2 linked regions of the Alligator mississippiensis genome follow. The protein of the gene in region 1 purifies or fractionates together with the protein of each later gene. This does not show direct contact. Links are inferred from orthologs where the notes say so. Each region holds a gene or a part of one and is shown on either strand. Other genes may lie near its edges.

The links.
Region 2: the proteins of TMPRSS6 (region 1) and HJV purify together in Homo sapiens (co-immunoprecipitation; 3 studies listed by IntAct). This does not show direct contact. The link is inferred for Alligator mississippiensis from reciprocal best matches to the Homo sapiens genes TMPRSS6 and HJV.

Annotation. Positions count from the first base shown.
Region 1 is NC_081827.1:100,544,632-100,548,543, forward strand, and holds the start of TMPRSS6 (transmembrane protease serine 6), read left to right. Parts: upstream 1-928; 5' UTR 929-1,320; intron 1,321-3,327; coding exon 3,328-3,481; intron 3,482-3,687; coding exon 3,688-3,830; intron 3,831-3,912. UniProt on the Homo sapiens protein: Membrane-bound serine protease. Through the cleavage of cell surface hemojuvelin (HJV), a regulator of the expression of the iron absorption-regulating hormone hepicidin/HAMP, plays a role in iron homeostasis.
Region 2 is NC_081838.1:17,970,451-17,974,362, forward strand, and holds the start of HJV (hemojuvelin), read right to left. Parts: upstream 2,680-3,912; 5' UTR 2,440-2,679; intron 675-2,439; exon of another isoform or gene 406-674; intron 1-405. UniProt on the Homo sapiens protein: Acts as a bone morphogenetic protein (BMP) coreceptor. Through enhancement of BMP signaling regulates hepcidin (HAMP) expression and regulates iron homeostasis.

The sequences.
Region 1 (3,912 bases):
TGAACAGCTATTCCTTGCCAACTAATGCTATTCTAATAACAAAGTTCCTCGGTTCCCCATCAGGATAATACCTGTTTTCTAAAAGGTAATTTCCACTAATGATTATCAATGAGATTATTCTGTTTACTTTGTCCTGGTTGAAGCATAGTTGCTTTTTTTTTTTTTTAAGAGTTACATGTATGCAGCTATACAGGAGCCTGGTGAGGTGACTTATAAGCAGGGGGTCGCAGATCAGGAGTAAAGGGCATTGACAGAGTTGTGTGGGAGCCTGAGACTGGATCAGTAGCATGCACTTAGGGGGACAGGATTAGGACTTCTGGCCAAAAAGAGAAAGAGCTCAAAACTGCTGTGAAAAGGAGCCTAGCAGGTCAGGACTGAGGCCATTGGCAGAGCTGTGCATAGTCGTTATCAGGGATATTAGTTTGGACAATGCTGTATCTGTCCCAGCTTGTCTCTTTAGTCTTTTCATCACCTCTCTCCCTTCCTCCTCAAAGGCACCCACTGCCCTCAGAAAAGCCTACTTATATGCATGTACACACACCTTTCACCTGCCCAAGTCATTTTATCTCTGTGCCATTTTTCCTTTCCCTCTAGTGGGACCAATGAGTGTAACTAAGAGAGAAAGAAGTTGCTGAGCAACTAGTGGTCCCTCGAGGAGGAAACAGCAATCCACCTGCACTTGCCTTCCCAGGTGACCTTCTCAGGTAGGTGGAGAAGTGCTCTTATCCTGGCTGTTTATACCACCATCCATGCACACTGTCCCTTTTTGCCAGTCTCCCTTGGATGGGATTCCTCCTCCTTCTCCATCAGAAAAAGCTACAGCTCTCCCGAGCGCATTGAATACTCTATGTATGACCAGACGGGGCAAAGGCCAAAATGCAAGAACATGGCGTCAGATTATTGATCACTGAGGAGGCCTTGGCCTGAGTAAATACATGTCATTTGATATGTCTGTGCGTGAGTGTGTAGCCAGTCACACACAGAGCTGCATGTTTCAAAGGTAGGTCTGTAGCTCTGGGGGGAAACCCCAGTGTCTAGAATTAATCTAACAAAGGGAGGCTTTTTTCTGCTTGGTTTGTAGTTCCTTTTTGCTGCTGTTGTTTTGAAGGGAACCCTTGAAGGTGGACTAAAGACCCTCACCTGTTCCCTCCCACTTTGGGAGAGGGAACCCAGATGGGGAATGAAAGGTGACCACGGAGAAGCAAAAGAAGGAAACCAGTGCTTTCCATTTCAACTGTGCATGCAGGAGACAGGATGTGGTAGTGCTAAAGGATTCATCGTGCATTTCTGTGCCATCTTTGGTTGTGTTCGACATTTCTGGTGAGTTGCTTAATTTTTACGCTGTGTTCATGTGTCTCTATACTGAGGGGTGGGCAGGTGGGTGGGTATATGAGGTGGGCCACAGCACCAGGTGAAGAGAGAAGGCTGGCTGGTACTCACACACATCCATGCACACATACGAGCACAGACCACTGTACATGGATCCACAGGCATGAATACCTGAGGATTCAAGCACGTGTTTTCCTCTCACACACTGTCTGGCACTCTTCATACATTCACAGTCATGGAAACACTCAGGTGCATGCATTATCAAATAAATGCTTGGGATAACATGTCCTCTAGGAGGCATATCCTCATGTAAGCATTTTCATAGACTGGAAACTACCACACATACACTCAGGCATGAGTGTCGGTAGGTCATCAAGGTGGCAGTCCATCTTGTTAGGTTATGGCACGTCTTACCTGAGGACCATGAAGCTTGCAGGAAAGGGAGCAGACAGGAGGAAGATGGACCATTTGTTGTTGAATTGTGATTAAGGGCAATCAGAAGATGTTGGTCAGCAGGACAGTGAGGAAGACAAAGGACTCAATTGCCTTTGGGCATTTACCCCTTGCCACAGTCATATCCTGAGTGGGTTATAGCTCTGAGGTCCCATACAAAAGCAGCTGGAGCCCACTACCCCTGTTGAGTTTGTAATATGGAATGACAGGGTTATATTTACCTGTCCCTTTACAGATTGAAGGTCAGCTGAGGAGGCCAAAGGGGAAAGAACTGGAGAGGCTGGGTGTGATTGCAGTAGCAGAAACTGGAGTGCTCTGAAAGGACATACATGGGACTGAGCAACACCACATGGAGATCTCAGCAGAGTTAATTAACCAGGGCTCAGCACTGTGTTAATATGGTTATATTACTTCCTTTGCCTGACCTAGCTCTGAGGGAGCTGTGGTCAGGTGTCACTGAATTGTGTCGTCTGGGCACCTTTCCAGCAGTAACAGGGTTGTGCAAGCTGTGAGTGTGTGGGTGTGTGTTCAGATACCTCCTCTAATAGAACTTAACTCTTAAAGCTATTCCTGGCCTGGTGGTCTAACACCTTAACCTGAACACAAACATGTATAATGATAAAAGTATAATTAAAGCAGGATAACTGTGGTGGGGAAGCAAGGCCCTAGTTTGTTACAGTACAGATCAGTATGAGATGAAATAACTAGAGAAGGGGACAAGTCAGGGAAGCATTAATAGGCAAGCCAATACCAAAAGATGGGAATAGAATCCAGCATCCTGACTCTCACCTTGGATTTATGTAGCATAACATGAATTTACGATCTTATATCCAGACTAACTTTAAAAGCAGGATCTTCCTGTAATGAGCAATATGTTTCTTATAGATGAGCCACAGGGACAGTTGTCACAGTTAAGTATCAGTCCGATTAATCCTTTGGAATAGAGTTTTTAAGTCAGATTCTCCCAGTCCAGGGACCTTGTGGCATCATTTTCACCTGTGTGATGAGAGTATAAAAATCACCAGCCTATTTTAGTTGACTTTTGCCAAGGCAGCAGGAAGTCTGGCTTGGAGTGGTTTGGATTCTCTCAGTTCTTACTGCCCATGGGGTGATAGCGCTCTCCATAGTCAATGCACCTTTCAGTTAGGAGCTGGGCATGGAATGAAGGGAGCAAGATCTGGAGCACTGTGATCTCAGCAGAGGTGATGCTGGTGCATTCAGTGACATTTGGGGAGAACACCTAGCTAGGCTAGGGAAGCCTCAAAAGATTAAGATATTAGATATTTAGGGAATGTATTTACAGGGCAAGATCCTAAAGGCCTAACTCAGTCCCTGCCTCAGCAAAAACTGGATGAACTCTAACTGGATTTTGGGAGTAGTTTTACTTGTGAAAGCATGGGGCAAGGTCTCTGGTATTTGCAGGTAAACAACAAGGGAATGCATAGATAAGTGAAGAGGCACATAATAGATGATAGAAGGCTTGCTGGTAATGAGCAAGTGGCATATAGAAGAGCTGGCCTGATCATTGGTTTTCTGCTTCGTTAGATGGCCATGATGGAGGCCAAAGAGCAGGAGGATGTGAAAACCCCATCTGAGGATGAACCTAAGAGGAGGACACAGGACTGCCTGCGCTATGCACCTCTCTGGATTGTCCTTGTTCTTCTGGCTGGAGCTGGAGTGCTGACCTGGTATTTTGTAGGTAATGGGTGATTTGCTTTCTACACTGGGGCTGATATGGGCTGGCAAGGATGGAACTGGTCCACATCCAGTCCTAAGGGAGTCAGTGACTTCTGGACATACAGCAGTGGATGACCACCACCCCATCCCCTGTATACAAACACAAACACCAGTGCCTCACTAGACTCCACATTCACAGGCTAATCTATCTGTGTCATCTGTTGGCAGACTACAGACCACGGTTTCTGGAACCAACCATCCTGCAGTTCTACTCTGGTAGCCTCCGGATCCTCAATCGCCAGTACTCGCTGGACCTTGGACGGCTGGAATCCAGAGCCTTCTGGACTGAATCAGCCAAGCAACAGAAGATGGTGGGAATGGTTTCATGAGTAGGGTTGCCCCTGAGGCAATTCAGGGAGTGGGATTATGGGTCACAGGCACTCATGCAGATTA
Region 2 (3,912 bases), on another chromosome or scaffold:
AGTCCTGCCTGAAAACCAGCCTGTTTGGAGAGGAGACAGATTGCAGGCCCCCTCGTTAAACCCAAGCAAGACGGATTAATTAACAAGTCCACCTGTGAAAGAGATAAGCAGCTCTGCCAAAAGCATGCAGTGGGGTTTGCTTTGCAAAGAGCATGCCTCAAATTGCTGGAGTCTGGCTTGGCCTCAGAGAAGCAGCAAACTGCTGCTGGCAGAGTGTCTTTTCCTATCAGCTTTGGAGAGAAGAGTTACTTTCCCACTGCTAAATGCAGAGAAAGGTCTGCATCCCTGGCACTAAGCCCCTTCCTTCCATCCATCCATCCATCCCTCCATCCATCCATCCATCCATCCTCCCTGCCTTCTTTCTTTCCTTCCATAAATCCATCCACCCAGCCCCTCATGCCTTACCTGAGCCTTCCAAGGGAAAGAGAAGCAGGTGGAGGGAGAGACCACATAGCTTTAATTCCTCCACCCAGGAGCAACTGTTACTCAGTCCCTGGATACCATAATTCACCCAAAAGGGGCTCAGATACCATAAACTCAATAAAATTGCAGCTCCTGCTTTTTTGGGTGGAATCAAGACCTGACCCCTCCTTGTGAACTGCAAGAGCCTTCTTTGCAGCTCCCATCAGGCTCCCCACTCCTCCCCGCTCTATCTGCCCCTCTCCTGAGTCCCGAGGGCATCGTGTCATGGCCTCGGGGTTGGTTTTTCCCATGAGGCTCCACCCCGGCCAGGGCTTGGACTTGGACTGCAGGGGATGAGCACCATCTGTTGGAAACCAGCTGCCAGCTGTGCCAGGGCATGGATGCCCCACGTGGGAATGTGTTACAGGGAGGGCAGAAGTGGGGGCAGCTGAACATTCTTCCCAGAAGAGCAGAAGGTCCCATCCGGGCCCCACAAAGGGGTTTGGATAGGGAACTATTCAGACCTTTCAAACAGACCCCCTTATGGGAACCCCTGACTTTAACCTCTTAACCACTGCTCTTCTGCAGCAGGTCCCCCCCAGCCATCACATGGGTCACGCAGAGCCATCACGCAGGTCACGGAGCGAATTTGCCAGCTCCCATAATCAGGAATGTGCTGCCAGGCCCACAAGGCCGTCTGGAGCCTTAACAAGGGGACTTGCAGCAGATGTAACCAGGCGTTAGGTGGGATGCATGCGTTCAGCGCACAGAGGCTGGGAATTTTGCAGGCTGGAGTTGGCAGGACACGGCAGAGCTGCAGTTTGGAAGGAGGAGGAGGAAGCAGAGAAGACAGCTGTGCTGGCACAACCTCCAGCCCCTCCGGATCCATTCGGAGCCTGGGTTCAAAGGACCTGGGATCATCTCTGCTTCCTGGCCCTGCCTAGAAATGCCACGGCTCTGGCACTGCTGTGTCATCCCTGCCGCGGGCCAGTAGGGCAGAGGGAGACCTTAAAAAAGAGGTGATGGGGAACAGGGAGAAAAAGATCCAGACGGTCCTGGAGGTTTGGTTGGATCCCAAACAGATATACCCCCTTCCCTTCTCTATGCCAGTCTAGTACCAAACCCCAAGTGGAGGAGTTCTGCTCTAATTAAAGCCCGGCTGATTAATCCTCTCCTGCCAGAGCCATGACATGGATGGGGTAACAGTGACTCTCCAAAAGCAGATGAGATGCCAGGGTTCTGGTTTAGTGATGATTCATCCTATGAGGACACCTCTGAGGCACTGGCACATGAATCTCAGCCCTAGGTTGTGCCTGGGGGATGATGCAGTGCGTTCAGCCAGGCCTGGACCACACAGAGCATGGTCCAGGTTTTACCAAAGGTGCAGCTTTATAGCTGCTTAGTTGGTTCGGTGCAACACTATGCATGGACAGGTAGGGCTTCAAGGTCCATCTCATCTGACCCCCCACCCAAGACAGGATCATCAGCTGGGGTCATCTAAACCCAGCACTCTTTCCTGCCTATGCAGGGGGTCGGACTCGATGATCTATTGAGGTCCCTTCCGACCCTAGCATCTATGCATCTATAAATCCCTGTCCGCACCCTCCCAGGCAGTTTGTCCAGCCTCCCCGGCAATTCCACCAGCCCTAATTCAACTAAAGTGATCTGATTTAAATCTTTGTGCAGACAGGCTCGGCCTGCCTTGCTGGTTCCCCTAGGAAACCCTTCACCATCCTGCAAGAAGATGCTCAAGAGAGGACGAGGTCCAGAGCAGCGGACATGGGGATGGAAGTCCATGGGCTGAGCCATGCAGGGTGCTAGGACTGGGATAGTCAGGATTAATGGGGAAGCCAGGATTGATGCAGTACAAGGACAGAGGCAAAGCCCCCAGAGCCGGGTGGAACAGCAGCAAGGGGAACTGCAGTGGCAGCTCCAGACTGTGATGCACTAGCAAAGGCTGGAGGAGTGCTGGCATAGCAAACCTCAACTGCTCGCCCTCTGAAGAGAAAACCCAAAGGAGCCAGAGCTCATGCTTACCTTGGTGAACCTCAGCCCTGCCATTTGTGCTGCTCTGGTCCCGACTTCCCGGTCTCACCTGCCAGCTAGAAGCATTGGTGGAAGGAGACAGGAGAGAAAAAAAAAAGGGAACCGAGTCTGCTAACGCCGGGGGACTGGCTATGGTGCGAGCCGAAAACAGCTGAACTTTACGACAACCTGATCCGTCCCTGGGAGCCCAACAGAAGCTCTAAGTTACCACTTTAAAAATAGCCAGCAGTATTTTTGATCCCTAAAGCAGGATTCCAGGGGGGGAGGCTGGAGACTCCAGAGGGCCGAGGACGTTCTGGTTTACACCCGCTTTCTTGTCTGAAAACTTAGAGACCCCCCAGGTGATGCTGGTGAGACCTCGTCAGGATCTGACAGCCCTGCTCACGCCTGACTGCACTGGACCTCTCCTTGCTCTCTTCTTAGGGCGATGGATTTGGGGCTCCCCACGCCCCGGAGCTGAGTTTCTGCAGCCGAGAAGATGATCGGTCTTTAAACCAACTCAGTGGATCTACGAAAAGCAGCCAAGCCGGGAAGGGCTTGGGCAGAATCCAGGTTTCAACAACTCCCAGCGCTGGTTTTGGCACAGGAAGGATCAAGATATATGTTGCCACAATGGGTCTCGTGCCCAGAGGCCTGTGTCTTGTCCTGCTTCTTGGAGGGTCCACCTGGGTGGACGTGGAGGGCAGCTCTGGGCACCTCCTAGAGTGCACAAACCCCCTTGGAGAAGCTGGGGTGCTTTCTCTTCTACATCAGAAGCTGCAGGGGCTTCAGGGGATGGCTTCAGTGGTTCAGGGAAGCCACGGACTCCCCGTCCCAGCTCTGCAACGGGAAGTTCTGGAGAACATCAGGACACCTCTGCGTCTCACTGCCTCCTCCTCCTTCCTTCAATCCTCCCAGCCCAGGGGCCCATCTCGAGTGGAAAAGAGGGTGTTAGGAGTGTAGACATGAGAGACCCAGACTCCTCTTTGCATTTCCACTCCAGATGTGGGGAGAGCTGAAATCCTCTGGGCTGCATCCCTGGGGACAGCAGACGCAGGAAGCTGTTAATCCAGCTGTCCCATTGCCCCCCACCCGTAACCCACTCCTACGTGAGGGTGGGGGGCAGATTTTCACAGAAAAGCTCCCGAAAGGCCAGAGTACAGATAAATCAATAGACAGAAGCACCTGCTCCGGGGTGAGCAACTGTCCCTGTGCTTGGGCTGGGTTGTTCCATGTGTTTAAAACATAACCCAGGGTGGGAGGCAGGGGCGGGGGGAAATGCAAGTCAAGGGAGTGGATCTGGCTAAATAAAGCCTGAAGCAGTTGTAGGGGAGCCAAACAGCCTGAGCTGTCATGCACCCCCCCGGTGGGAGAGCTGGGAGCTGCCGTGCAGCTGGAAAGCAGGGTTGCACCCTGTGACTGCACTGAGTTACACCATGAGGGGACTGGCCCCCAAGCTAAAGCGGGGTCTTGGCAGGCCTGGAA